Nothobranchius furzeri: one gene and its partners. The protein of the gene in region 1 interacts with the protein of each later gene in a biochemical or structural test. Links are inferred from orthologs where the notes say so. Each region holds a gene or a part of one and is shown in the gene's direction. Other genes may lie near its edges.

What was found. The genes of interacting proteins can lie anywhere in the genome.
Region 2: the proteins of cul2 (region 1) and cdc34b form a complex in vitro, tested with the Homo sapiens proteins (2 studies listed by BioGRID). The link is inferred for Nothobranchius furzeri from reciprocal best matches to the Homo sapiens genes CUL2 and CDC34.
Region 3: of the proteins of cul2 (region 1) and cops5, one has a biochemical effect on the other in vitro, tested with the Homo sapiens proteins (3 studies listed by BioGRID). The link is inferred for Nothobranchius furzeri from reciprocal best matches to the Homo sapiens genes CUL2 and COPS5.
Region 4: of the proteins of cul2 (region 1) and dcun1d4, one has a biochemical effect on the other in vitro, tested with the Homo sapiens proteins (2 studies listed by BioGRID, with this or other methods). The link is inferred for Nothobranchius furzeri from reciprocal best matches to the Homo sapiens genes CUL2 and DCUN1D4.
Region 5: of the proteins of cul2 (region 1) and dcun1d3, one has a biochemical effect on the other in vitro, tested with the Homo sapiens proteins (2 studies listed by BioGRID, with this or other methods). The link is inferred for Nothobranchius furzeri from reciprocal best matches to the Homo sapiens genes CUL2 and DCUN1D3.

Annotation. Positions count from the first base shown.
Region 1 is NC_091747.1:38,626,471-38,630,859, reverse strand, and holds the end of cul2 (cullin-2), read left to right. Parts: intron 1-1,389; coding exon 1,390-1,592; intron 1,593-1,669; coding exon 1,670-1,771; intron 1,772-1,872; coding exon 1,873-1,989; intron 1,990-2,359; coding exon 2,360-2,491; 3' UTR 2,492-3,072; downstream 3,073-4,389.
Region 2 is NC_091751.1:57,908,070-57,913,141, forward strand, and holds the start of cdc34b (cell division cycle 34 homolog (S. cerevisiae) b), read left to right. Parts: upstream 1-1,767; coding exon 1,768-1,953; intron 1,954-2,037; coding exon 2,038-2,124; intron 2,125-2,215; coding exon 2,216-2,313; intron 2,314-3,890; coding exon 3,891-4,025; intron 4,026-4,138; coding exon 4,139-4,349; 3' UTR 4,350-5,072. Other genes in the region: splicing factor Cactin, read right to left, coding at 344-642. UniProt on the Homo sapiens protein: E2 ubiquitin-conjugating enzyme that accepts ubiquitin from an E1 ubiquitin-activating protein, and catalyzes its covalent attachment to other proteins by an E3 ubiquitin-protein ligase complex. In vitro catalyzes 'Lys-48'-linked polyubiquitination.
Region 3 is NC_091747.1:51,741,673-51,747,026, reverse strand, and holds the start of cops5 (COP9 signalosome complex subunit 5), read left to right. Parts: upstream 1-2,049; 5' UTR 2,050-2,208; coding exon 2,209-2,348; intron 2,349-2,490; coding exon 2,491-2,725; intron 2,726-4,815; coding exon 4,816-4,944; intron 4,945-5,221; coding exon 5,222-5,287; intron 5,288-5,354. Other genes in the region: centrosome and spindle pole-associated protein 1, read right to left, coding at 45-134, 215-495, 584-685, 755-838, 943-1,040, 1,102-1,144. UniProt on the Homo sapiens protein: Probable protease subunit of the COP9 signalosome complex (CSN), a complex involved in various cellular and developmental processes.
Region 4 is NC_091748.1:39,453,999-39,459,140, forward strand, and holds the start of dcun1d4 (DCN1-like protein 4), read left to right. Parts: upstream 1-1,837; 5' UTR 1,838-1,953; coding exon 1,954-1,972; intron 1,973-2,894; exon of another isoform or gene 2,895-2,913; intron 2,914-3,198; coding exon 3,199-3,269; intron 3,270-3,346; coding exon 3,347-3,386; intron 3,387-3,473; coding exon 3,474-3,561; intron 3,562-3,681; coding exon 3,682-3,770; intron 3,771-3,859; coding exon 3,860-3,930; intron 3,931-5,142. UniProt on the Homo sapiens protein: Contributes to the neddylation of all cullins by transferring NEDD8 from N-terminally acetylated NEDD8-conjugating E2s enzyme to different cullin C-terminal domain-RBX complexes which are necessary for the activation of cullin-RING E3 ubiquitin ligases (CRLs).
Region 5 is NC_091756.1:31,620,513-31,625,954, forward strand, and holds the start of dcun1d3 (DCN1-like protein 3), read left to right. Parts: upstream 1-2,137; 5' UTR 2,138-2,522; intron 2,523-3,528; 5' UTR 3,529-3,595; intron 3,596-5,442. UniProt on the Homo sapiens protein: Contributes to the neddylation of all cullins by transferring NEDD8 from N-terminally acetylated NEDD8-conjugating E2s enzyme to different cullin C-terminal domain-RBX complexes and may play a role in the cell cycle progression by regulating the SCF ubiquitin E3 ligase complex, after UV damage.

The DNA of each region.
Region 1 (4,389 bases):
TGTTGAGAGTTTCAATGTTTAAAATCTGTTAAATTGTTACTGACAGCAGCTACATTTAAGTTTCACTTCCTGTTCTGACTGCTGCAGCATGGAGGTGTAGTTCTCAGTCATCCTGAACATGATCATCCTGAGAGTTTTAGCTGAAAACAGCTGCACGTTTCTGGATATGTTGGAGACATTTAGCCTCTCATCCCAGAGGCTGCTTCCAGACTTTGGTTGTGGTCAGAAACAAACACACTGGTTGTGCTGCAAGTCTTTTTCTTTTTTTCTCCAAAACATGTTTTTGTCTAAATGAAGGTGATGTTGTTGTTCATAGAATTAAAATTCATGTTGAAGTTAAGATTATTTCATCCAGTAGGACCTGTGATTAGCTGGCTCGTGTAAAGCATGTCATGTCTTGAAAGAATCGGAATTGGGAATCGATAGGAACCGGAATCGAAATGAGGAATTGGAATTGGAATCGGAATCGTTCAAAATCAAACGATGCCCAACCCTACTCTTTAGCTCCTGGTAGCCAGTATGGTGTTCTTTCAGTCAGGATTTATAGTAACACTAAATAGTTTCTTAAACTTTAAACTAGAGCTTTAACATTGATCTCGGTGATAGTTGGGTTAAAAAACTTGACCAGTTTAGTATTTGAAACACTCTGCAGCCCTCTGCTGGCCAGATACCACTCTTAACATTTTTATCGAGCCAGTAGGTGTTCTAGGGGGTGCTCTTACACATGCATTACGGTTGTTAGCATTACTTTATTACTTTTACTTCCTCGCTCTGCCACAATGCCAACAGAAAAGCAAACTTCTTATTTTTCTTGTGCTTTTTATTGATGATCAACAAACTGAAAAAGCCAACTGCACAAAAAGTTGCTAACAGCCGTAATGCAGGTATAAGAGCACCCCCTAGAACACCTACCCCTCCACAAAACTGTCAAGTGCAGTATCCGGCCAGCAGAGAGCTGCACATTGGCGTCAAATATGAAACTGGTCAACTTTCTAACCCGACGATCACTGAGATCAATGTTAAAGCTCTAGTTTAACATTTTAAAACTATTTAGCATTACTTTAAATCTCATGTCCAAGATAGACCAATAAACTGGGAGCTTTGGCTTTCAGCTCAGCTGAGTAAAGATCTTGTCTGCTGCTCCTCCACCCATCTCAGGTTCAGCAAATCCAAGACACCTTCATTGAAGATGTGACAGCAGTGAGACATGGCAGCTAAGCACACGAGTTTGGATTAAACACAATATTCAGATTTTTGCCTTGAGACTTCTTGTAATGAAGTCACTCTTTTTTTTCTTTGATTCATTTTAAGCTCACACACAAACTAGTCGTGTCCACACCTCAGCTTGGTATTTTCAGTGCTGATCTTACACGTTTTTTCTCTTCACAGGTGAGGTTAAGATGAACTACCTGTCCAAGCCTTACGTCGCCATGGTGACAACTTATCAGATGGCCGTGCTGCTGGCCTTCAACAACAGTGAGACGGTAACGTACAAGGAGCTTCAGGATGGCACCCAGATGAACGAAAAGGAGCTTCAGAAGACCATCAAGTCCCTGCTGGACGTCAAGATTCTCAACCACGACTCTCAAAAGGTGCTGAGTCAGTGAATGCAGCATCAAATCCTCAGCAGGACCTGCTCTCTGCTCACCGTTGTTTTCTTTGTCTACAGGAGGAGATTGAAACCGAGTCCACGTTTTCACTAAACATGAGTTTTAGCAGTAAAAGGACAAAGTTCAAGATTACCACCTCCATGCAGAAAGACACCCCCCAGGTCAGATGATGGGTGATCTGTTTCAGTTTGGTTTATACCAGTCTGTTAACTTAAGGCCTTAGCAGGCTCAACAATAACAAACCCGTGTCTGTGATGTTCAGGAGATGGAGCAGACGAGGAGCGCTGTAGACGAGGACCGCAAAATGTATTTACAAGCTGCTATAGTCAGAATAATGAAGGCCCGCAAGGTGCTCCGACACAACGCCCTCATCCAGGAGGTGAGTGGAAACTCCTGACAGATGAGGTAGTGGAGGAAAACACGGCTCATGGAGGGTTGGAATGAATGGGTCCTGTAAAGTTGAGTTTAAATTCTGTAGAGGTGAGGTAACTGTTATGTTAGAGGGAGATGTTTGATCATGTTGGAGGACATGAGCAGTGAAAGCTCCTGTCAGCTGACGGCTACAACGCATACACAAGATGGAAGGGACGATTCTCACGCTTATCTCCCTTCTTTATAACCTACCTGGAAACTGATGCTGTTCCTGTAGACAAAACCATAAATCAGTGTTTTTAGTCGTTTCCCTAAATAAATAATAGAAAGAAATAACTGCATTAGATTCATGTTTGTGCATTAACGTGTGTTTACAGGTCATTAATCAGTCCAAAGCCAGGTTCAACCCCAGTATCAGCATGATTAAGAAGTGTATCGAGGTGCTCATCGACAAGCAGTACATCGAGCGAAGCCAGACCTCCGCTGACGAGTACAGCTACGTGGCGTAAGGGGGGGGGAGGCTCCATACAGAGACTCATGAGACTGACTGAGGACAAAAACCACGATCAAACACACGATCCCAATTATCCATTTAGGTTCAGGACGGTCACTGTCTGCTGTGTTTCTCTGTGGTGACTAAAGCAGGACTCGTGCCTCCATCTCAGATAAGATTAATGTCATGGTTTCACGTCGGACACCTCCACCCATAAGGCCCTTCTTCAAGCCCCTCCCACTTTCTGATTTTAAACTGTTTACAACATCACCAGTGCCACGCACCTGTGCGTCTAAAGAAAATGCCTAAAGCAGCTGGAGAGGACGGATCTGCCGATCTGCCGGCAGGGACACAGGATGGGGACAGGACTACTTGTGGCATCAATGACTCGTTGGTGGCTACACAATAAACAAACATGCTTTCTTTTCTCACGTTTGCAGTTGTGTGTTACTTTCTTTGTTAAATGTACTGAATTAGGAACAATATTGTAACAAAACTGCTATATTGACTATTGTTATCTACTTTAAAATGTAAAGAAAGAGTGACAAACATGATCTTGCTGCTTGTCAAATAAATCAAAAACACTGAAGGCTTTTATTTAGGTATTCGTCATGTGTCTATATAAGGATGGAGTCTTTAGCTTTTAGCTTGTGACGCCATCATCATGTTCATTTAGAGCAGGGATGTCTAATAATAGTCCCAAAGGGTCTGTATCCAGTATGTTTTAGTGTTTTCCCTGCTCCACACACCTGAATGTATAAATCGCCTGTTCAACTGCTCAAATACTGCCTAATAGGGCAGCAGTAGCTCAGGTGGTAGAGCGGGTTGCCTCATGATCGGAGGGTCATGGGTTCGATTCCAGCTCCCGCTAGGGGTATCCTGCTGTTGTGTCCCTGGGCAAGACACTTCATCCAACTTGCCTGTGTTAGTGGTGGTCAGAGGGGCCGACGGCGCCAAATGGCAGCCTCGCCTCTGTCAGACCTCCCCATGGCACAAGTAGTACTACAAGTAGCTTTCCATCACTAGCAGTGTGTGAATGTGAGAGTGTGTGAAAGCATCTTTGAGTGTCTAGAAAAGCGCTATATAAGTTCAATGCATTATTCATTATTATTATTAATACTCACTAATTATATCTGCAGGACGGTGGCCCTGAAGGACCAAGACTAGACACCAAATTACATCTGTTACTTTATATTGTAGCTTTTGAATTAATTAGTTTCTATGAAGAATTTATCGATGGATATATTATAACACAAGGCACGTTCAAATATAGAAGGTGGCTCCCATGTGTGTTGTGTTGACGGCTGTCCACGGTGCTGATTAGATACCTTTTTACTGACGTCAGCTCTCGCAAGACCTTTATCGTATTACCAGAGAAGTATCACCAAATAGTAAATGTCTCTTATTGCTGGTTAAAGATGCATGCGCACAAACGGTCCCTGTTATTAGTCATCTAAATTATATTTTGCATGGTCTTATGGAACTACGGCGGCACGTCTGACTCGAGATCAGAAGGTTGAGTGTTAAAATCATGTGGTCAGCTGCCTTTTCTCACCTGTTATTCTGTCTGCATGTTTGTGTTTATTGCTGTTATGGTCTTGGCCTCCCACTGGACATCTGACCAAACAGGTAAGGACAGAGATGCAAACTTCTGCTGCAGATGATACCAGATATGCCATCTGGTTCTGGAGAAGGTCCAGTTTGTTCTTGAGCAAATTCAGTGTGTGTGATCATTGCATCTTTGGGTCTAGAACCTTAAACATTAGGGGTGCACCGATCTATCGGCCCTGATCTCGGCTTTTGTCAAGATCGGTGATCGGCCAAAAACTGCAATCTGTGCACCCCCAATTAATGTTCAAACGAGTCATTGCTTTAGAATATTTATTTAGACAAATGTGCCAAAACAGGTACAAA
Region 2 (5,072 bases), on another chromosome or scaffold:
AATTCGTTTCAACCTGCTTCTAAACAGTTACATGCAGACATTTACTGTAAATATAGTGTTTAAAAACACCTGTCGCAATAACCACCTGTGGGTTACACCCACCCACCACCTATAAATATGACTTATTGGAGGAAAGATGATGAAAATCTGCCAATCTCAAGCGACTCTCTATTCTGAATAATAGATCACAAACAAAAATATATTTTGACTGTGGCGACTTTCTTCATTTTTTGCGCTGCGTGAGTCAAAAACAAGTTAATGTGTGAATCTCAAGTTGGACGAGTGAAGCTTAACTAACAGACACAACCTTTTATCGTACTGTAACATATTGTGTTAAAATTACCTCGATGCACGATCCTTTGATTTGCTGCTGTGGCGCGGCGCTCTTCGACATCTGTCCCCCTCCGATTCACTCCTGGACCCTGATCGGCCCCTATGTTGAGGTCGGGCCCGAGAGCCATCGCTCGAAGCCTCGCTGCTGGATCTGCCTCGACCCAGTGTGGTCCTTTTCGGGCTCGGAGACCTGTTGCGACCTCTCCTCTCATCTGGAGATCGCGACCTGTTTACTCTGGACTTGTTTCGGTGATCTCTGCCCCGACTTATGGACCTGGAACGAGACCTACGCCGTGTTTTCGAACCCATCACGAACTTTCTTCTTTTCGGGGCCCTAAATGCAGTCTGTCGCGTAAATAGGAGGCATTGACGAAACACTGTTGATTATAATAACGTTTACAATCGCACTAATAAAAACATATGTCTATGTTTAATGTTCGCATACTCTAACGTGTGCTATGACAGAAAAAATTACGTGTCAGATTTCTTTTATAAAAAATCCAAATGTATTTAGTAAGGCAAAGAAAAGCTAGCCTAAATGGGCTTTCCTGAGCACTGGCGCAGATTAAAACGTCACAGCCACTTAATAAACTACAAATTAGCCACAAATGAACGCAGGATTGTTTTTCTTACAATTTAGTTATGTCGGTGATAAAATACTATTATTGATGTCATAGATATTTCGTCCATAGTAACCGCTACCGTATTTAAACAGTTTAACAGGAAAATGCAAGCACAAACAAACTTATTTTTCTTTTTGGGCATTTAAAATAAAAATAAAAACATCATAAATAAAAAGAACAGGAATTATATTATACCAGGGTTTTCAGTTATTTTGGTTTCACGTTTTTTTAATCTAACAAACGCGGAATGAAAGACTACCAGTCCCAGCCAACAACAGGGCGCCATTACCTGTTTTTACCAGGGGACTCTTTCAGCAACACATTTCCTTTCGCAGCTTTCTATGAGGGCTAAACAATTATGGTTACTGGAGGTATAGTTTGGCGTAGTGTCACATGACTTTTTGCGTTTGTCTTTTCAAATTGCCATTTTATGTAGTTATTTTGTGTTTTTGCGGTAATTACGTCGCTCCAGCTGGTCAATTAGACGGAGCTTGTTAGCTTTCCTTAGCTAACAGTAGATTTAAGGCTTATATCAGCTGCTGCTCTGCCAGGTAAATCAGCCAAAGCTGTTGAGCCTCTCAGACACAATGTGTTTCTCGTTTATAACATTACTGAGTTTTGACATTAATAACGTTTAATTTGGGAACAGACCAACCGCAGTCTTTGTTTTGCTTTTACGCGCGGTCGGCCTGTTTTCTTTGCCTCCGAACATCGAAAAAGGAGAAGTTGTGCTGTTTGCTGGCTTGGCTAGCTTAGCCGTGTAAACAAAAGCTGTCGCCTCCAGATAATCCTGAAAGCTTCATAAATCATTATGGCGCAACACGACCCTTCTCATGTAGCTAGTTCGCAGAAAGCTCTCATGTTGGAAATGAAGAGCCTCCAGGAAGAGCCTGTGGAGGGATTTAAAATCACTCTGGTGGACGAGGCTGATTTATACAACTGGGAAGTCGCCATTTTTGGTCCACCAAACACTCATTATGAAGGGGGATATTTCAAGGTAAGGTTGTAATTAAAATCAGATGACATATAAGAAATGACCGTAGTTTAAAAAATAACAAGATGTCCCCATTTTCCCCCCTAGGCAAGGATCAAGTTTCCTACAGATTATCCTTACTCCCCTCCTGCTTTCCGCTTCCTAACCAAAATGTGGCATCCCAACATCTATGAGGTTAAATATTGACGTGTGTGTACTCATAACAGTGTATTTAATTTGAATGAATGCATCTGATGATGGAATGTATTTGTTTCCCCTCTTGTAGAATGGAGATGTGTGTATTTCTATACTGCACCCTCCAGTGGATGACCCGCAGAGCGGAGAGCTCCCATCAGAGAGATGGAATCCAACCCAGAATGTTCGGTTAGCATTTCTCTTTCTAATCATATTCTCTCTATACGTTTCTCCTTTCTGGTCTCCTTCCATCTTTGTCCACTTTGCAATCACTTCAATGGTTCACCCAGCGCAGACTCTTATCTTATGACATTCATTATCAGCAGCATCTTCTTCACCGGCTGCAGCAGCCAGCAGTAAAGCTAGATCTGCATCTTCCTCTTATTTACAAACAAAATTAAATTGATCTTTGGATAATATCATACTATGCAAACTAAGATTTTGTTGGTTTATTTCTATGAAAAACATACTTTGAGTACCTTAATTCATTGTGACTCACAATAAGTGTATCGCATGAGTTTGACAGCATTTTGCTGCAGAAGAGGGAGAAAATGCATCTTTATTTATTATAAACTTCCTTCTGAGGTTATTTGTCAGGCTCACATTATGCAATCTGTGCACAAAAAAATGTATCTTTGATCTTTTTCTGTAACTGAGAGCCAGATTTCTATTCAACAAGAAACTATCTATGTAAAAGCCACCACAACGATGTCACACTCACAAGTGATATTAAACCTGTGATCTGTAGTAGTCGAAATCACACAACTTCAGCAGTGTTACAAAGATGTAAGCTCTGGTGGTTTCGGTCACTTGATGCAGTGCAGCTCTTATGTTTTTGTTGTTGCAGGTGGTATACCGTTAACCTAACCTAATTTCCTCATTTGCATTTTTGCTGCAGACACATTAGATCTGTAGATCAGGAAGTCTGTCACAAAGGCTGTTCCTTTGGCCACAAACAGAAGCAGCTTCTTTCTGTTTCCCATAACGACTCACTAAAACCTTACTCACAATGCTACGTTTTATAAATGTAATGTAAAGGCTTGTCAGTGCGCATTGTGCGCTCTGCTGAGAAGGTGATTGGCTGCAGCCCTCCATCTCTCCAGGACCTGTACGTCTCCAGAACTCGGGGGCGTGCAGGCCGGATAACAGCTGACCCTTCGCACCCGGGTCACAGACTTTTTGAGCCGCTTCCCTCAGGCAGGAGGTTACGGTCCATCCGGACCAGAACCTCCTGCCATAAGAACAGCTTCTTTCCATCTGCCGTTAGACTTGTGAATAGATTATAAACACACAACCATGCTGGTCTTCTGTACTCGACACAACGTCACGTTATCGGCCATGTTACCATTACCTGCCATTTTAGCTGAAAGTTTTATTCTAGTTTTTTTAATTATTATATTTTATTCTATTTTATTCTATTTTTAATCTTATTATTCATGTTATATGTAGCACATTAGTGCCGAAGCAAGTTCCTAGTTTGTGAATTGTTTGTTCACTGAAAATGGCAATAAACCTATTCTGATTCTGATTCTGGTAGGGTGGTAGCACATGGGTCTGACAGGTTTTTTTAATACATGTTTTATCAATTAGCTTTAAGTTCCTAATGTAATATGTGCTTCATTGTTTATTCTAATAAAATAGTAGATGAAATAAGTAATTTAGGCTTGTGACATTAAAATATTTTTTATGTGTTTAAAACTTTTTAATTCACCTAAAGTCGTTTTCTTATGGTTCTATACTAAGTTGCCTTTGTTTTTTGCTTCTAGGACCATTTTGCTGAGCGTGATCTCGCTGCTAAATGAACCCAACACCTTCTCCCCTGCCAACGTGGACGCCTCTGTCATGTACCGGAAATGGAGAGACAGCAAAGGCAAGGACCGGGAATATGTAGAGATCATCAGGTAAACATTAGTGTAATGTTATTTAAGACAAACCTCAAATATTTCTAAAAGATTTTCAAAGCCACACCATCCACACAAAAGTAATTCAGTCTTCATAAAACAAATCCCTTCAGGAAACAGGTGCTGGCCACAAAGGCAGAAGCAGAGCGAGATGGCGTGAAGGTGCCCACCACGCTAGCTGAATACTGCGTTCGTACACGCGCCCCGCCGCCAGACGAAGGCTCTGACCTCTTCTATGACTATTACTATGAAGACGATGACGTGGAGGGGGGAGACGGCGACTGTTGCTATGACGAGGATGACTCGGGCAATGAGGAGTCGTGACATTCTTGTTGTCAGAAAACCCAACCTAGCTGACGAATGCTCATCCTTTAACTCTTCCTGGGTTGCCAGATATTCTTGGTTTGCAACCAAGAGAGATTGGAAGCTTCCTTCTAAATCAGTACAAGAGCTTTTTTCCTTCAGCCTCAGAGGTTAAAACTGATGCCTCGTTGCGAGAGGGTCAGACTGTGGTCACTTTTGCACCAGCACAGCCACCAATTTTTTTTTCCAACTTCGAGAACTTTTCATCACACTGAAGCTTACTTTGCTCACAAAATCCAGTCCTGGTTTTAGTATGAAATATTTTTGGTTGGGTTTCATGATCACTGAACTGGTGCAAACTCTTAAACCATCACTTCACCTGTTTTGCATAGCTGTATTTCTCTAATTGTAACTGGGGGTGTCTCACTGGTTGTCCGCCTCGTGGTGGAAACTTTTACAGACTTCAAGATGGACAAAGGACTGCAAGTGTCCCATATTTTACAGTTTCTGTCTTTGATTGGCAGGACATGGAGGAGTTTTCATGGACAGTATGTTCAAAGTTCTCATGCATGCCAGAACTTCTTTGAAAGCTTTTTGTCTTTTTATTTTTATTTTTTAAATTGGTGGACTGTTTCCCAACGTCATGAGAGACTCGTGGCAATGGAGGGCCGTCCCGTCTGCTGGAGTCTGCTGAGTCAGCTCCTCATATGAACATTCTTACTAAAACATGAAATTGATCTCTGC
Region 3 (5,354 bases), about 13 Mb from region 1:
ATGTTCATGGTGCAAATTGAACTTAAGAGATTCATTCTTCTTACTGCGACTTTAAGATCCCATCGGTGTTGCTTGGATCATGTGGTGCTGAGGTCTTTATCTCCTCCAAGTCCTGCACAGCTCTGCATTTAAAGCTGAGAAAACAAAAGAGCTCAGAGATGAAAATAAACCAACCGGCACCACTTTCTGGAGTTTTAAATGATCCTAGAAAGACCTGTTCATTCTGGGTTTCCTTGTTTTCTTCTTCTTCTTCTTGTGCTCCTTATCATGCCTCCTCCTATATCTGAAATCAAAGTCCTCCTCATCTTCTTCTGAGCTTGTTTCCTCATTAAGCTTTTCTGACTTACGGAGTTGCCATCTCCTTTGTCTTCTACAACATCCTCCTTCAGTCAGAGTGGCAGCATCTCTACAGGATGCAGATTGCTCCTTGTGAAGAGGTGGAGGAGGTGAGTTTGTTTGAGTACTGAGGAAGGGCGAAGGAGAGCCTTGCGAAGCCTGGTTAGGGATAATTTAGGGAAAATAATCAGTTTGAAGAAGTTTTTAACACATTTTGTGGCAGAAAGGCTGAAAACATGTTTTTCGCCTTTGAGGAGATCGGAGGTGTTCCTCTCTTGGACCTTCTCTTCTGAGCTTGCTCCTGGAGGAAGATGTTGTATTCTTTTTTCCTCTCTTCTCGTAGTCTGCCCTGTGAGAGAGTCACACATGTAACTAAATTTTTAAAATGTGCATGTGCACACAAAACATGCACACACACCTTTATTGATGCTCTCTCGTTGATGGGTAAGGAAAGACCCTGGTGCTCCAGCACCTGGGGCTCACAATTTCTGAAATTATATATCTAGAAGAAGAACAGTGCGGATGATGAAATGGTAAAAAAAAAAAAAGATGGTGACTCTAAAGCTGTTTTAAGATTTCTTTACATTTTTGAGTACATCACCAGACCTTAGCAACACAATCTTTGTTGTCCAGTTGCAGCTCCTGTAGATGTTTCTGCTTGTTTTTTTCATAATCACTTCCCAGCCGCAAACTCATGTCCAAACCTGACAAATAAAATACTTTAAAACACTAAAACCCCACCCCCCAAAAAATGCTCTGCGTTACCTCTGTCTGGGTGCGATGCAGGCGCTGTTGATGCTGGACTCATACTAAAGTCTCATTTACTGAACATCATTATTCCTTGGTTGGAAAAGAAATCCACACAGCAAAATTACTGATTTGTTCATTACCTGAGGTGATTTGAAAGTATAGATGTTTACTCACCCAGCTGCTGCGTGGCATTTTAAGGTGACTTTTCTGTGTTTTGCTCCTTTAAGATCTTCCCATCTTACCATTGACCTACATAAGTATATCAGAAGTATAGAAGGTCCAAATTATTCTAAACTTGCAACCATGGAAGGAAAGACGCTAATATGTTTTATCCGCATCTAAAACCCAAACAAACGCTCATCCGGAAGCACTGCACAAAGTGCGTTGCTAGGGGCAACCATGACACAAAAGATAACCCCAGGAGGCTAACTAACGCTGCTAATACAAAATTGTAAACAAATGTGTCACGCATATAGTCTGAAATTAATTTAGAATTTATTATTTTACTTTTTTACACCCGTGAACACGTTTTATTTAAACCGCAAGTTTACTCACAGCTAAGCTAATAGTAAATATTTTTAGGAGCTGGTTTATATTTAATACATTTCCTGAAATATTTAACAGTAGTTCGGGTTATTTTAATTAATGAACTGACGCAGTTTCTAAAGAAGCGTGAAGAAAAAAAGGGTGTCAGAAACAAACCTGCACATACAAAATCCGCCGCTAGATGTCAGTGCGTCATTAAGTGACTCAACAATAGACCTAACTCTCTGTGGGTGAAACCATCTCTCAGAGGGGTGTTTACACTTACACAAACTGTAACTAAATACCTAAAATCCGCTTTGTTACATATTTAATTTCCACACATGATACAGTATCAATCTTGAAATTATGTACAATGTTTTAAAATGTTCAAGAAAGGATTCAGTTTAAATATTGCAACCAAAGGAAACGTCAAACCTGGGAATTGGTATTGTTCACTGTCATGGCTTCCTGAGCGAGCGGTTGTTGGGGCCTAAATCATCTACGCTGAAATATCGCTTTTCTTCGTTCATTTGACTGGGAATTTAAGGGCTTAAATACTGTTTTTTATTATTATAATTATTTTAGCCCGATTAAATCATGATGACCGGCAACAGCACGGCTCAGAAAACATGGGAGCTGTCTAACAGAATGCAGGAAGTCCAGAGCATCGATGAAATTTACAAATATGACAAAAAGCAACAACAAGAAATCCTCGCTGCGAAGCCATGGACAAAGGAGTGGGTTAAATACGGAAACGAATGATGAATTTTCAAACACTTAGTCTTCTGTTGTGATATTTAGGTGTACTTAAAGCAATAGTTCGTTTTTTAGTTATGCCTCTTGTTTGTTTATTAACTGTGCTTCTTCTAACTCCCTCAGTCACCACTACTTCAAATACTGCAAGATCTCAGCTCTGGCCCTGTTAAAGATGGTGATGCACGCCAGGTCTGGTGGAAACCTGGAGGTGATGGGTCTCATGCTGGGAAAGGTGGATGGAGAAACCATGATCATCATGGACAGCTTTGCTCTGCCAGTGGAGGGGACAGAGACCAGAGTCAACGCGCAGGCTGCAGCTTATGAATACATGGCTGCCTACATAGAAAATGCCAAACAGGTAAAATCAAAGCCTGCATGTTGCTTCCTGTGGCGATACACTTCATTTTACATGGGTATAGACATTTTAGAATATTTTTAATTGTGTTTTAACGATACAATGTTAGATTTACCTGTAGCTGTCTTTATGGATCCACATGCAATCAGACGAGAATAAGCAAAGAACACACATGCAGTGGTGCTCTCAGAAAGGTTTTAATGGGGGGCCAGTGAAAATTTTGGGGCAGCACACCCCATTAGTGGAGTTTATCCTGTTGCCATTGAATGCTCCTTCACCTAAAATCTGTTAGTTTCGTTGACAAAATAGTTTTAGGGTTGTTATTTTTGTGACAAATTAATTTTTGTGAACAAAAACTAAAATGTATTACTTCTATAAAGACTAAATTATGACTAACATTGATTGACGCATTACTTGATGAATAAGATGACAACAAAATTTGACTGTAACTAGGGCTGCAACAACAAATCGATAAAAATCGATGAAGAACTGCATTGGCAAGCATGGCCAAAAATGTATTTGGAATTCAGTAGTTTTATAAAACAGGTAACATAAAAACTCAAGCAGGTAACTTTCAGAATGTTCCTTTGGGGCGTTTTAAAGCATCTACCACACACACACAGACACACACACACACACATTCATAATAACCATGTGCCATTGTTATTTAGGGTGGTCGCTTTCTTTTATCTGACTAGAAATAAATTTACAGGAAGTTGTTAGTGACATTTAAAGAGCAAGTCACCCCTTACAAGAAGCGTACTTCACTCCCACTTCATGTTTGAAAAATGCAACAAATGCTGTTGCCTAGCAGACCGAGAGGGTGGAGCCACTAACAAATACACACACTCATGACATTGTGACATCATAATGTACCAGTTTACATCATAGCATACCTCTTAGCCAATAGCGGTGGCAGATTTAAATTCAAATGCAGTGCAGAGTTTTTACCTGACAACGGCACAACACTGACAGTTTCAGGCAGAAAATTTAAATTTTTACTAAAATGCACTAAAGTGCAAAACTATTGACTACACGTGTCTACAACACGATTAGACAAGCATTTATATAGTTTATCAGGAAAAAATAATTGATTTGGGGGTGACTTGCTCTTTAACCTTTATTCTTTTTTATTTAAAAAGAATAACAACAATTAATTATTTATAATGACATTTTTATCATAACTCGACTAATTCCCAGGAATCTATCGAAGGCAACAGGCGTGTGTAAATTAAAAATGTTTTTCTAATAAACAAGTTGGCTCCTTTGTTTAATTAGCAATGGACCGATATGAAATTTTTGGGCCGATACCGATAATAATAATATCACTGTTATGGCCGATAACCAAACGTCGATACCGATATACTGAAATTAATGCTTCTGAAATCAGCAGAATTTGTATAGTCTGAAAATTATTAAAGCTGAATTTATGTTATTATGTACACACAACACACACATTTATGCTTCTGAGATGATTACAACCACTGTCACATGACTAAACAAACACACATCATCCCCCTCACCCTCTGAAACAGATAAACAAGTGGAAACAAGATGGAAAAAATATCAGTTGTTAATATTGGCCTGGTTTTATTTATCGGACGATAACGATATGTTAAAAAATGACTAACATCGGCTGATATTGATGCCAATATGTTGTGCATCCCTAATGTCAACAATTAGATTTAAAACAATATTACTGCTTATTTCTATTTGTATTTGGCAGAATGTTAATTATGAGTGTGAGTGCAATTGTACAGAAGCTCTACGATGCACATTACAAATGCATTGTGTTGGAGTTGGAGCTGGGTGCTGAATTGCTCTGTGTTTTTGCCGTGGTGAATTTCATGCTGGAGTAATAAAACAAAACGTGTGCATCAACTGTTTCTACTACTCCACTAGGGTGTGATAAATGATTTATTTTTCCCTTTTTCCATCGTTTTGAACCGTTTTTTAGGATAAATCTGTTGTTTCTCTAGAAATAATCTTCAGTTTGAAACAGTTTGGAGTATTATATTAACTAGTAGGGAAGCAGTCCTTTTATAAAAATGTTTGTGTCGTATTAAATCTGTACCATCGGTCTCATCTGGTAGGTTGGTCGGTTGGAGAACGCCATTGGCTGGTACCACAGTCACCCCGGCTACGGATGCTGGCTCTCCGGCATAGACGTCAGCACTCAGATGCTCAACCAGCAGTTTCAGGAACCTTTTGTTGCAGTTGTGGTGAGGCAGGAAACGCCACTTTTTTGTTTCTTCAAACAAATAAACATGAATGTTTATGTCACTGAGAAGATGTATGAGTTGTAGCTTTCTGTGTTGTGTTGATGCAAACATGGACACTTCATTTGGTGCAGCGGCTCTTGGCTGCCAGCGGCATCACATAATTAAGTGTGTGTGTTCTGTGCTGTGACAGCTCCGGTGGTCAGGTTTGAGTGGTCCCCGGAGGCTTTCGTGACCTCTGACCCTGTTTTCCTGCTCTACTGTATCTCTCTCTCCACAGATCGACCCAACCCGGACTATTTCCGCAGGGAAAGTCAACCTCGGTGCCTTTAGAACATACCCAAAGGTAGAGGAAAAGAGTCGGGCAAATTATGTGTTTAACGTTTTTGGGACACAAAACACGGGTGTGCTGT
Region 4 (5,142 bases), on another chromosome or scaffold:
TGTGGGAAGCAAGCTGACCAAGAGAGTCTCTGACTTTGGGAACCAGCTTGTCTGGGGCACAGATGAGGATCTCAGTCTGATCTTCATTCAGCTGAAGAAAGCTCCCACCATCCAGGTCTAAGCAGGTGTGTAACAGCTGCAGCTTAATGATAAATGATAAATGACCCGCACTTGTATAGCACCTCTCAGAGTAAGGACTCCAAAACGCTTTATACTACAGTGTATCATTCATTCACACACACACATTAACACACTGGTGGTGATGAGCTACGATGTAGCCACAGCTGCCCTGGGGCGCACTGACCGAGGCGAGGCTGCCAAGCACAGGCGCCAACTGTCCCTCCGATCACCACCAGCAGGCAAGGTGGGTTAAGTGTCTTGCCCAAGGAGACAACAGCAGCATTCTCTGTCCGGAGCCGGGATCGAATCTGCAGCCTTCCGATTATGTTTATGTTTATGTATTTAGCAGACGCTTTTGTCCAAAGCGACATACAAGTGATAATCGGCATTTTGCCCTTGAGGCTAACAATAACAATAACAACAACAACATTAACATCAGTCATGGAGAGGAGGGAACAAGTAGTGGACAGTAGAGAGGGGGGACGGGTGCAGGCAAGGTGCTAGTTAAGAAGATGCTCTCTGAAGAGCAGGGTCTTCAGGAGTTTACTGGACAACCCGCTCTACCTGATGAGCTACTGCTGCACCAAGCTTAGACATCTCATGGGGCTTAAAGGAGATGTACAGTTGGATGTCATCTGTGTAAAGATGGTAGGAGATTCCTTTGAAGAAGCTCAGTATGTGCTGAAGAGGAAGCAGACAGAGGAGGAACAGTAGGGGCCCCAGCACAGAACCTTGTGGTACACCGTGTGTGGAGAAGGTGGTGGAGGACCTAAACTTGGAGATAGCCACAAAGAAGGAATAGACAAATATGAGGAGAACCACTCCAGAGCACATCCTGATAGACCAGTCTCTCAGCCTATTCAGTACCTGGTGATGGTCAACAGTGTCAAAGACTGGAGTCAGGCCCAGCAGGTCATGTCTATTTGCTTTAATTAAATCCAGGTGGTGACTTTTCTTTGAACAGGCAGTGTGTTACTCAGCATAAATTACAAACAAGTCACTTTAATAGCAAGATGTTAATTAAAAGACAAAACAAAATAGAAACACTAGTAATTTTAGAGAAACTACTTTTTGGTTGAGAAAGCTGCTCATATTTTCTCTGTATTAGACCAGTTTTTATGATCTTCCATGTGGTAATAAAACATATCAGCTGCTAATAACAACAATACAATCGCCTTGAACAAACAGTGACTACCTAACCCATCTTACCATGAAGATCCAAAGGTGAACACACCATTAACGTACAGGTGTTGGGCTTGATCACGCTGAAAACAGATTAAAACTCATTTCTTCTCAGCCTTTGTGCTTGCCGACATAGGCCAAAAAAATTGTTGATTTAAATATTTCAAAATGTCATATTATCTGTTTTAGTGATCCAATATAATTTATTTGCATGTGTGCTCACTTTGTTTGAATAAGGAAAGTAAGTGTGAACCTAGTGGGAAAACAAAACAAAACTACGAATTACTAATTATTTTACTAACCATAACACTTATCAACCTAACCCATATAAAACAGTGAACACCTGAACGACCAATCAGGTCTCATCGTGGGCCGGCTTTAGGCTTGCACGAGGAAATTCTAGTGATTGACGTACACGTAGCACGGCCCATTGGAGGAGCTCTGACCAATCCGATTAGTAAATAGGCGTTCTCCTGTCTGTTTTTCCCGCCCCTTCCAGAAAGGACATATTTATTAGCCAATAGAAAGCGAGCAAGGGCAGAGACTTCAAGCCGAATTTCAGTTACTGCGTACGGGCGTCCTTTACGCTAACAAGGCCCGCCTATTGGCCGGTCTACGGACTTCCCACAGACAGTTGTATGTTTCATAAAAATGCACTCTGATGCGGCAAGTAAGTGAGAACGTTTCTGCATCAAATTGCGACCTTTCTCGTTGTTGGTGCGCGTATCAGACAGAAAAAACGGACGCGTTGTGTTTCTACATCCGCCTTTGTCCCGTGTGTCTGTCAGGTTTCATGGGAACGCATGAATCCTGTCTTATTTGCTAGTCTCTTTGTATTTGCCAGTGCTGTCTGGGTCGACAACAAAGGAAGGATGGCTACAGTAATTATAGCTATTTTCAGTTGTAAACGTTTGCTGAGACACGATAAGTTTATTTCTGGTAATTATTTTCGGGTTGTGCTGCTGTTTTAGGTTAAATTCCACCGACGCTGCTTAAGTTCAGAGGATTTTCGATTGCAGTCGGTGCGTTGTGGCGTTCCTATTCCTCGTTACTCGTGGCGCACATAATATTTAAACTCAAACTTGTAATTCGGCGTGATTCGGCCAATTTTCGGGTCAGCTGCGGACTGTAAGAGAGAAGGAAAATTGTGACGCAGTTGTGTAAAACATCTTTCGTTGCTTGCTGCAACAGTGCTAGCAATTTTTTCATAGCCCACGTTAGCTTCTGTAAAACGTCACCACAGTGCTTTCCTGTCAGTGACCATGTCGCATTACATTTATTAATCAATGTAAAATGTATTCAGTCGGAAAAGGTACATGTTGGGGGGAGATGAGTCTGAAAGAAAGAGTTGTTTTGTAGAGACGTGGGTATTGTAGTTTATTAACCCAAGCAAAGCTTAGCTTCTAACGACCACTATAAAGGAAAAGAACTACAACATCCAGACGCCCGACTCTCTGGATACTTTGTAAACTCTGCAAGTTGCTCGTCTACTGCTATTTTTGGTATGCAGCTAGTGCTATCCGTTCGTTTATCTCTGCCGTTTCTCTGAGTTTTGCCTCTAGTGATAATTCTGTACTAAACAGCAACACACACCCGGCTTTTACTCACAAGGTAGCCGCCATAATCGAATATATTAGCGTTTTAGTCCTGTCCTTTCAGTAGCACAGGGAGTCAATCGTGAGGGTCTTTTTCTGCCATTTTAAAGCCCTAAACACATCATATGTGTGGGTTAAATGGTAATGTTGTGTTCATAGGCAACGTAGGATTCAAGTCTCCATTATTAGCGTTGTTGACGTCACCTCTTCATAACCTTACATGATTAGGTCGAGTATTAAGTTATAAATGAAGCCTTATTTGGATTTTTCTAAAATGTCATTTAAATGTTTTTGTGGATAGATTTTCAGCTGAATTCTCATTTGACTACACTGGCCAGCATCCACAAGATTCACCACACCTTACACAGGCTGGTAACTATCTAACAGAAGGCTGATTATTTGTGTGAAGTGAATGTTTCTTTTTTTATTCACATGCTTTTATTTGTTAGAATCTGGCTGAAGACGTTGGACAGGATAGCCACCCGTCAGGTAAAATCCTTACGTGTGTTTTCTGTTCTTCATGCAGTTTGCACGCTAGTTCTGCTGATACTGATCTGCTGTGAATTATTTTGACAGCTTGCTACTCAAGAGCCATGCCACCTAGGAAAAAGAGGAGACCTTCTGCTGGAGATGACATGTCAGCCAAGAAAAGTCGCCAAGAGAGGTGACAGGAGGGTTTTCAGGAAACTTGATTGTTGTGGCTTATTAAAATAAACATGGACACAAATATGCTTCTGTAGTTTTGCTGCTTAGCTCACGGCTGACATCGTCTCATTATCTACAGTGTTTTCAGAAAACATGAAACATCGCAAATCCGGGAGGAGGAGACGTTTTCTAGTAAAAGATGTTTGGAGTGGTTTTATGAATATGCAGGTGAGCAGTCATCACACATTTTGGTTTAGTCACTGATCTTTGTGTTTGTAGCTGAGTTAATGCTGTGTGATGCTGCTCGGCTCACCTAGGTTGTGACGATGTGGTGGGTCCAGAGGGCATAGAGAAGTTCTGTGAGGACATCGGAGTGGAGCCTGAAAACGTGAGCAGATTTTATTTAGACTTGTTCACTACTGGACAAGGTTTTGGTTTGGTTCCATTTGCATGATCTTAGTTTATTCTATTTCCTCCTTTGGCTGCCCATCACACTGTCTCAGTGACACTGAAACAGGAATTTTAGTCATAGCAACATACGGTCAGCATTTGCATACACATTAATGCTTTTACAATCTGAAATCTGTTGACATAACTCAACAAATTTGCATCCCTAAAACACAAATATACACAGATCTGATGTGCAGCGCAATCTGTTTTCACGTCCTAAAAGCAGGTAAAGAGAATCCGGTTAACTTGGCAACAGCTGCTGTTCTATGGTCCCCGACTCGTGGTTGTCTCATCATAGCTACCTCAGTGGGTTCTAGCAGGTCTCACGAAACCCACTGCAGGTATTCAACACACCCTAAAGGTCAAAAGTTGCTCCATTACACATCCCTGGCTACTTATGGCCATTCTAAAATATCACCACACCACTAGTGCTTGCTTACAGAGAGACTTTCAGGTCATCTGGCCCTCTTGATTACTGTGCCCGTCCCAGGAACCATGTCTGGTCAAACCTTTTTGCTGAACCCATTTTTTGCCTTTATTTTTTATTTTTGAAAGATGTATTACTTGTTGATTATGTTGTTTCTTCTTGGGGCCTTTAAAGGAATATTTTGACCATTTTGAATGTGTTTCTATATATAAATAACAGAGATGGGGAATTGAGGCATCAACAAGTCATCTCCATGCTATGTTTTTCTTCAACTCAGCAACTAAACCAGGGGATTTCAATCAGCACAGTAAATGAACCTAGTTCAGTTGCTGAGCAGAACTAAAACACGGCATGGAGATGACTTGTTGATACCACAGTTCTCATCTCTGATGAATAATTACAATCTTACCTGTAGTAGAGGCCTTCCTGAACCTGCTTATGGGGTTTAAGTCCCCTTAAGTCAACTTCAGGGTTCATTTCAAGATCCTGGTTCTGGTCTATAGGGCCTTACATGGACAAGCACCATCTTACATTGGTGATCTTCTCAGTCCCTACACCCCCAGCAGGTCCCTGAGGTCCAGTGACCAAAGCCTACTGGTTGTGCAGCACCAGGCTAAAGGTCAAAGGTGACAGATCATCTGCTGCTGTGGCCCCCAGACTCTGGACCTCTCTCCCCCTGAGCCTGAGATCAGTGGACTCAGTGGTCTCCTTTAAAAAGCAGCT
Region 5 (5,442 bases), on another chromosome or scaffold:
ACAGTTTGTCATTCGCCATCGTTGCCGATTCTTAAGACACTTTTGAAGGCACATTTTTTATATCAAGGCTTTAAACAATAGCTGTAGTAGTCTGGTGCTACTGTTCCACTTGTTTAGTATTTGATTCTGTCTGTAATGTTGTTGCATTAACACCTATTTTTATTGTTTATCTTATACTGTTTCTGCATGTTCAGTTATTGTAGTGTGCAGCACCTTGGACGTCTATCTGGGTTGTGGAAGGCACTCTATAAATAAAGTGAAATGAAATAATTATGGGGCTGCGCAGTGACGCAGTGGTTAGAGCTGTCGCCTTGCAGCAAGAAGGTCCTGGGTTCGCTTCCCAGCCTGTGCATGCGTGGGTTCTCTCCGGGTACCCCAGCTTCCTCCCACAGTCCAAAAACATGACTGTTAGGTTGATTGGTCTGTCTAAATTGTCCCTAGGTGTGAGTGTGAGTGTGTGTGTGTGTGTGTGTGTGTGTGTGTGTGTGTGTGTGTGTGTGTGTGTGTGTGCATGATTGTTTGCCCTGTGTGTCTCTGTGTTGCCCTGTGATGGACTGGCTCTCTGTCCAGGGTGTACTCCGCATGATTGCCCATTGACCGCCGGAGATAGGCACCAGCCCCCCCACCCCACCCCCATCCCGCGACCCCGCGTCGACAAGCGCGCTCAGAAAATGGATGGATGAAATAATTATGACAACTCTCTTAATCAGAAGACCTTTGTTGTCATTGTGTGGGTCAGTCCTGTTCAATGATGTAACTATGCCTCCACTACATACATATGCACCGCACAGAGTTGGTCACATTATTAAAATGATAAACAAAAAGACATTCAGGCAGTTCAATCCTCAAATTACAATTGGCTCTCTAAGCTTACTGACCCACCAAGTGAATGAGGCAAAAGGTTTCCATTGATGACACACAATGGACGTAGTTTTTGTTATTATAATTTTGTTTGTTTGTTTTTTGGGATGGGGGGTGTCCCCCACACTTTTTTCAATGTAAGTTCTTGTCCTCTGCACTTTTAATCGTTCAAAAACAATATTACGCAATAGGAGTGGGAATGAAAATGACTAACAAGGTGAAAAACAAAGTTGAATTGAAAGCCGGTCTACTCTGTTGGGCTTAGAAAAAATAGAGCTGACATACTTGGTGCTGCAGCCTGCTTCCAGCCTGTTTCCTTCGTGTTTTAGATCATGAACACAGCTGATTTGTTTGATTTAGTGATAAATCGCTCATGTAGACACAAAGGAAGGCTGGGGAGATTTTCAGCAATTAAGATTCAAGTGTTAAAAAGACAAATGCACAGCAAAGAGATGTGTTTTGCTTTTGGTTCTACGAAACGAATACTAGGGGGTGCTAAAGAAAGCAAAACTGCCAAATGTGCCTTTAAAGCAGGATATGTAATTCAGTTTCTATGTCCTGTTAAACCTACTGGTGGCACTGAGTGCTGCGCTTTGAGGTGTGCATGCTTTGTATGAGCAGGTGAGAGATAAATAGGACATAGGAGACTGAAAACTCAAGCTTGTCAAAAGAAAATGGAAATAAAAACAGAAATGGAAATTATTGACTGTGGTTGCTTTTAAAGGCTCACATGATTGGCGTGTGCATTTATTTGAGTATTATTGATATTATAGTCTTTTTAGCTGTAAATTTGAAAATCTATCTAATCTGTAAAACTGCTTATTTAAAGGAGGGAAATTAATGATTGTTTCGCAGTTGTAGTCATTTTTCAACTGTGCATTTTAATAATTGTGGACTAAGAAGGGAAATATTTCACATAGCCCCACCAAGAATTATTTTCAGCAGCCGCCACTGGTGTGGGTGTGTGAAATCTAAACCAAGCTACTCAATGCAAATAAAATTACCCTCCAATTAAAAAATTAAATAAAAAAACTGCTTGCAGATGTGTTTTTTATACACTTGTACCACATGTCTTTACATTTTAAAAATGCAAATGAGCGCATAAATAAATCTGTACAAACTGTTTCCTGTTTTTCCATATCCAGTGTTTTACTCTGGAAAACAAAACAAAAACATTTTTCGACTTCCCCGGTCAAGTCCCAAACTATTATGGTGACAGAATTCGGTGTGACACCCCCGCTCAGATGGAGATCAGCTGTTGGCTGTTAGCACAGACAGAGGAAGTGATGCAGGAAAATGTCCATAATGTAGTTCAATGACTAAAAGGGGGAAGCACAAAGAAATAGGCAGCCTTAGTCCGAGAGTGGCTCTTTAACTTGTTTTAAACTGCGAACCAACAAAAATGAATTCCGATACAAACTCTGACTGCTAATCATTTTATCATTCCCTAAAGGTAGAATAGAGTGCGACTTTATTATGGAAGTTTTTTCTTTTTTTTTCTTTTGGTCAGCTGCCTGCTAGTTTGCTAACAATCTGACGACGAGTTTGCCTCAGTTCGTTACTGCTGGTATTTCGGCCAACTTATTTGCCCACCTTTGTTTTCAGTGACATTTATGAAGTGATGTACATTCAAATGACGCGGCCTACGTTTTCCTAAAAAGGTAAGCTTTTTGAGGATATTTATCTCGTTGTGTCAGCCGGAGAAGACTTAGCATAGCCGCTAGCTAACTTTTAGCTATGTCGACGTGGTCAGGGCCAGGCACTTTAGATGTGGATGTTTAAATGGCCCGGTGACGAGGATGGATCGTTGATCAGTAACCGATTAGCGAGTATTGCCCGACTACTTTAAGCAGTTTAAGCGGACTATTAAACAGAAACTGAATCAGTGTTTACATTTCATTTGGAAGTGCTGTACATGTGCTGTTAAGCTCCCTTGATCCTGATCAAGAGCTTGTCTGTCTCCAACAAGCATAACTTATTCAGATCATCGTTATCAGATGTGTGTTTTTAAACCCAGCAGCTCGTGCTCGGTGACAACATAGCTGCAGATATTACAATTTAATATCTGGGCTGCTCTTCGCCTCGGACAGTTTTTAAGACCAGCTAATCCAGTTAAATTGACGTCTGGATGTGTTACACGGTGATGCCTGTTTATTGTGGAAAAGGGGGCCTTTAGACATCCATCTGATGTCAGAGACTTGAAGTTGGCCAAGTTAGAAGTGTGGGAGACGTGCCTCTACATGTCCAGGACATTGATCTGTACTGGCAATTTGCCCCTGAAGCCTGACTCTTCTTATTAATGTATGACTAGTGACTTTATCAATGATCTGAACAGAGTTGAGTTTGGGTTTAAAAATCAAAGCTGTGTATTTTGCATTAAGCATTGTGAATTATGTTTCATTATAACATGTGAGACTCTTTCTTTGTGGAAGCAAAGAGTTGTACAGAAACCCTTCAAGTGGAGACACAGAAAGATTACCCCACTGTGTAAATATTGCACAATGACTTCTAACTGTCATTTTAGGGTATTTTAAAACTGTCCAATAATTATTTTGCAAGAGGAGAGTTTTGACTTTCTCTTTGTATTGACAAAAATAGTCCCTGCAGATTTGGGAATGAAGAGCTATTGCTTTCTGCTTATGATGACAATATAATGTGTCTTTGCAGCGTTGCTGATCTCAAGGTCACAATGATGGAGCAGAACTGAAAGACAATGCCATCTGACGGAGTGTCTGTAAGTGAAATTGTCATCAGCTGCTCTTTTATGATATAATGCATGAAGTCATCACATCATGTGTGTGTGTGTGTGTGTGTGTGGTAACCATGTCTGTTTTAGTAATTAGGTTAGTGGAAAGAAAATGATGCATTTACAGATTAAACAAACTACCAAATTGATGTTTGCAAGTAAAAACAAAAAGTGATTGATCTGGTTTTACTCATGAATTACAACCACATCTATGAGAATATAAAATATATGAAGCATTGTTGAGCATTCAGTCTGAAAAATGTTAATGGAATGTCTTTCTGATTTTAAAAAAATGATCACAGGATTTGTTGTGTCTGGGTGCAAAGTTACGTATCAATTTTTTAGAGTTTTACTGATAAAAGTTAGTTAAACAATCAAAACATGCAACAAACAGGGCTTTGGAAACTCTCCCTTTATGAAAAAGCAGGTTTGTTTTAAACGATCCCAGACTTCATTAGCGACATATTTCTAAAGCACTTCCCTCATTATTTTCACATGCTGCAACAATAATCTCAGCAACAACAAGACATGAGGCATCAGGTTTAGCTCTAACCTAAATGTAAACTGTAGAAACACTTTTCTGTTGGCTCCCATCATCACATCAGTCAAAGGATTACACAAAATGCTGACATGGCTTCAAGGGATATGACCCAAGTAATTAGCTTGTTCAACTAGCTTAAACAGTAACTACCTACATTCACGGACTGCACACAGTCTGATGAGACATCACCTACAAAGCTGTGTGGGTGGATGGAATGAAATTGATCTGTACATCATTCATATCCCTCATAACACAGATTTTTACTCTGCTCTCTTTAACACCCACCCTGCAGGAGCTGAAGACAAGCCCTGTGTGTTACAAGAGACTGTAACAATTCTGGCTCATTATATATAGGTCCTTCTCAAAAAATTAGCATATTGTGATAAAGTTCATTATTTTCTGTGATGTACTGATAAACATTAGACTTTCATATATATATTAGATTCATTACACACAACTGAAGTAGTTCAAGCCTTTTAATGTTTCTAATATTGATGATTTTGGCGTACAGCTCATGAAAACCCAAAATTCCTATCTCAAAGAAATTAGCATTTTTCATCCGACCAATAAAAGAAAAGTGTTTTTAATACAAAAAAGTCAACCTTCAAATAATTATGTTCAGTTATGCACTCAATACTTGGTCGGGAATCCTTTTGCAGAAATGACTGCTTCAATGCGGCGTGGCACCTGTTAAGGTTGGTTTATGCTTGACGCGTCCGCGAGGTCCGCACGGAAAAGTTGCGTCATTTTGCGTCATTTTAACAACCACGCCCCTCCACCGCGCCTCCGCACGGCCCAGAATTTCCGCAACGCGCACCTCGGAAAATTTCTAACCACGCGGACGGTCGGACGCGGAAAAACATGGCGGACCGGCAAGAACTAGTACGGCAGAGGTTGGTAAATACAGACATTTGTATGATTCAGCTCTCAAAGATCACCATGATCAACATGTTGTTAATAATTCTTGGAGAGAAATAGCTCGCACTGTCGGAAAAGACGAGGACGCTGTTAAAAATGCTGAAATGCCATGTTGTAAACAGTGATTTCTACTTCTACTATGGTGTAGTGTTGGATGCATGCTGTAGAGCTCCATGCTGCCCCGTTCAGTATGGGAGAATATTGTCTCACCGCAGAGACGAGCCGCACAAACCATAAACACTGCGAGTTGTGAAGCACGTTCCAGCCGCGAGCCGCATCACCGCGCAGAAAGTGAATGCGTCAAGCATAAACCAAGCTTTATGGAGGCCCAGGATGATTCGATAGCAGCCTTAAGCTCATCCAGAGTGTTGGGTCT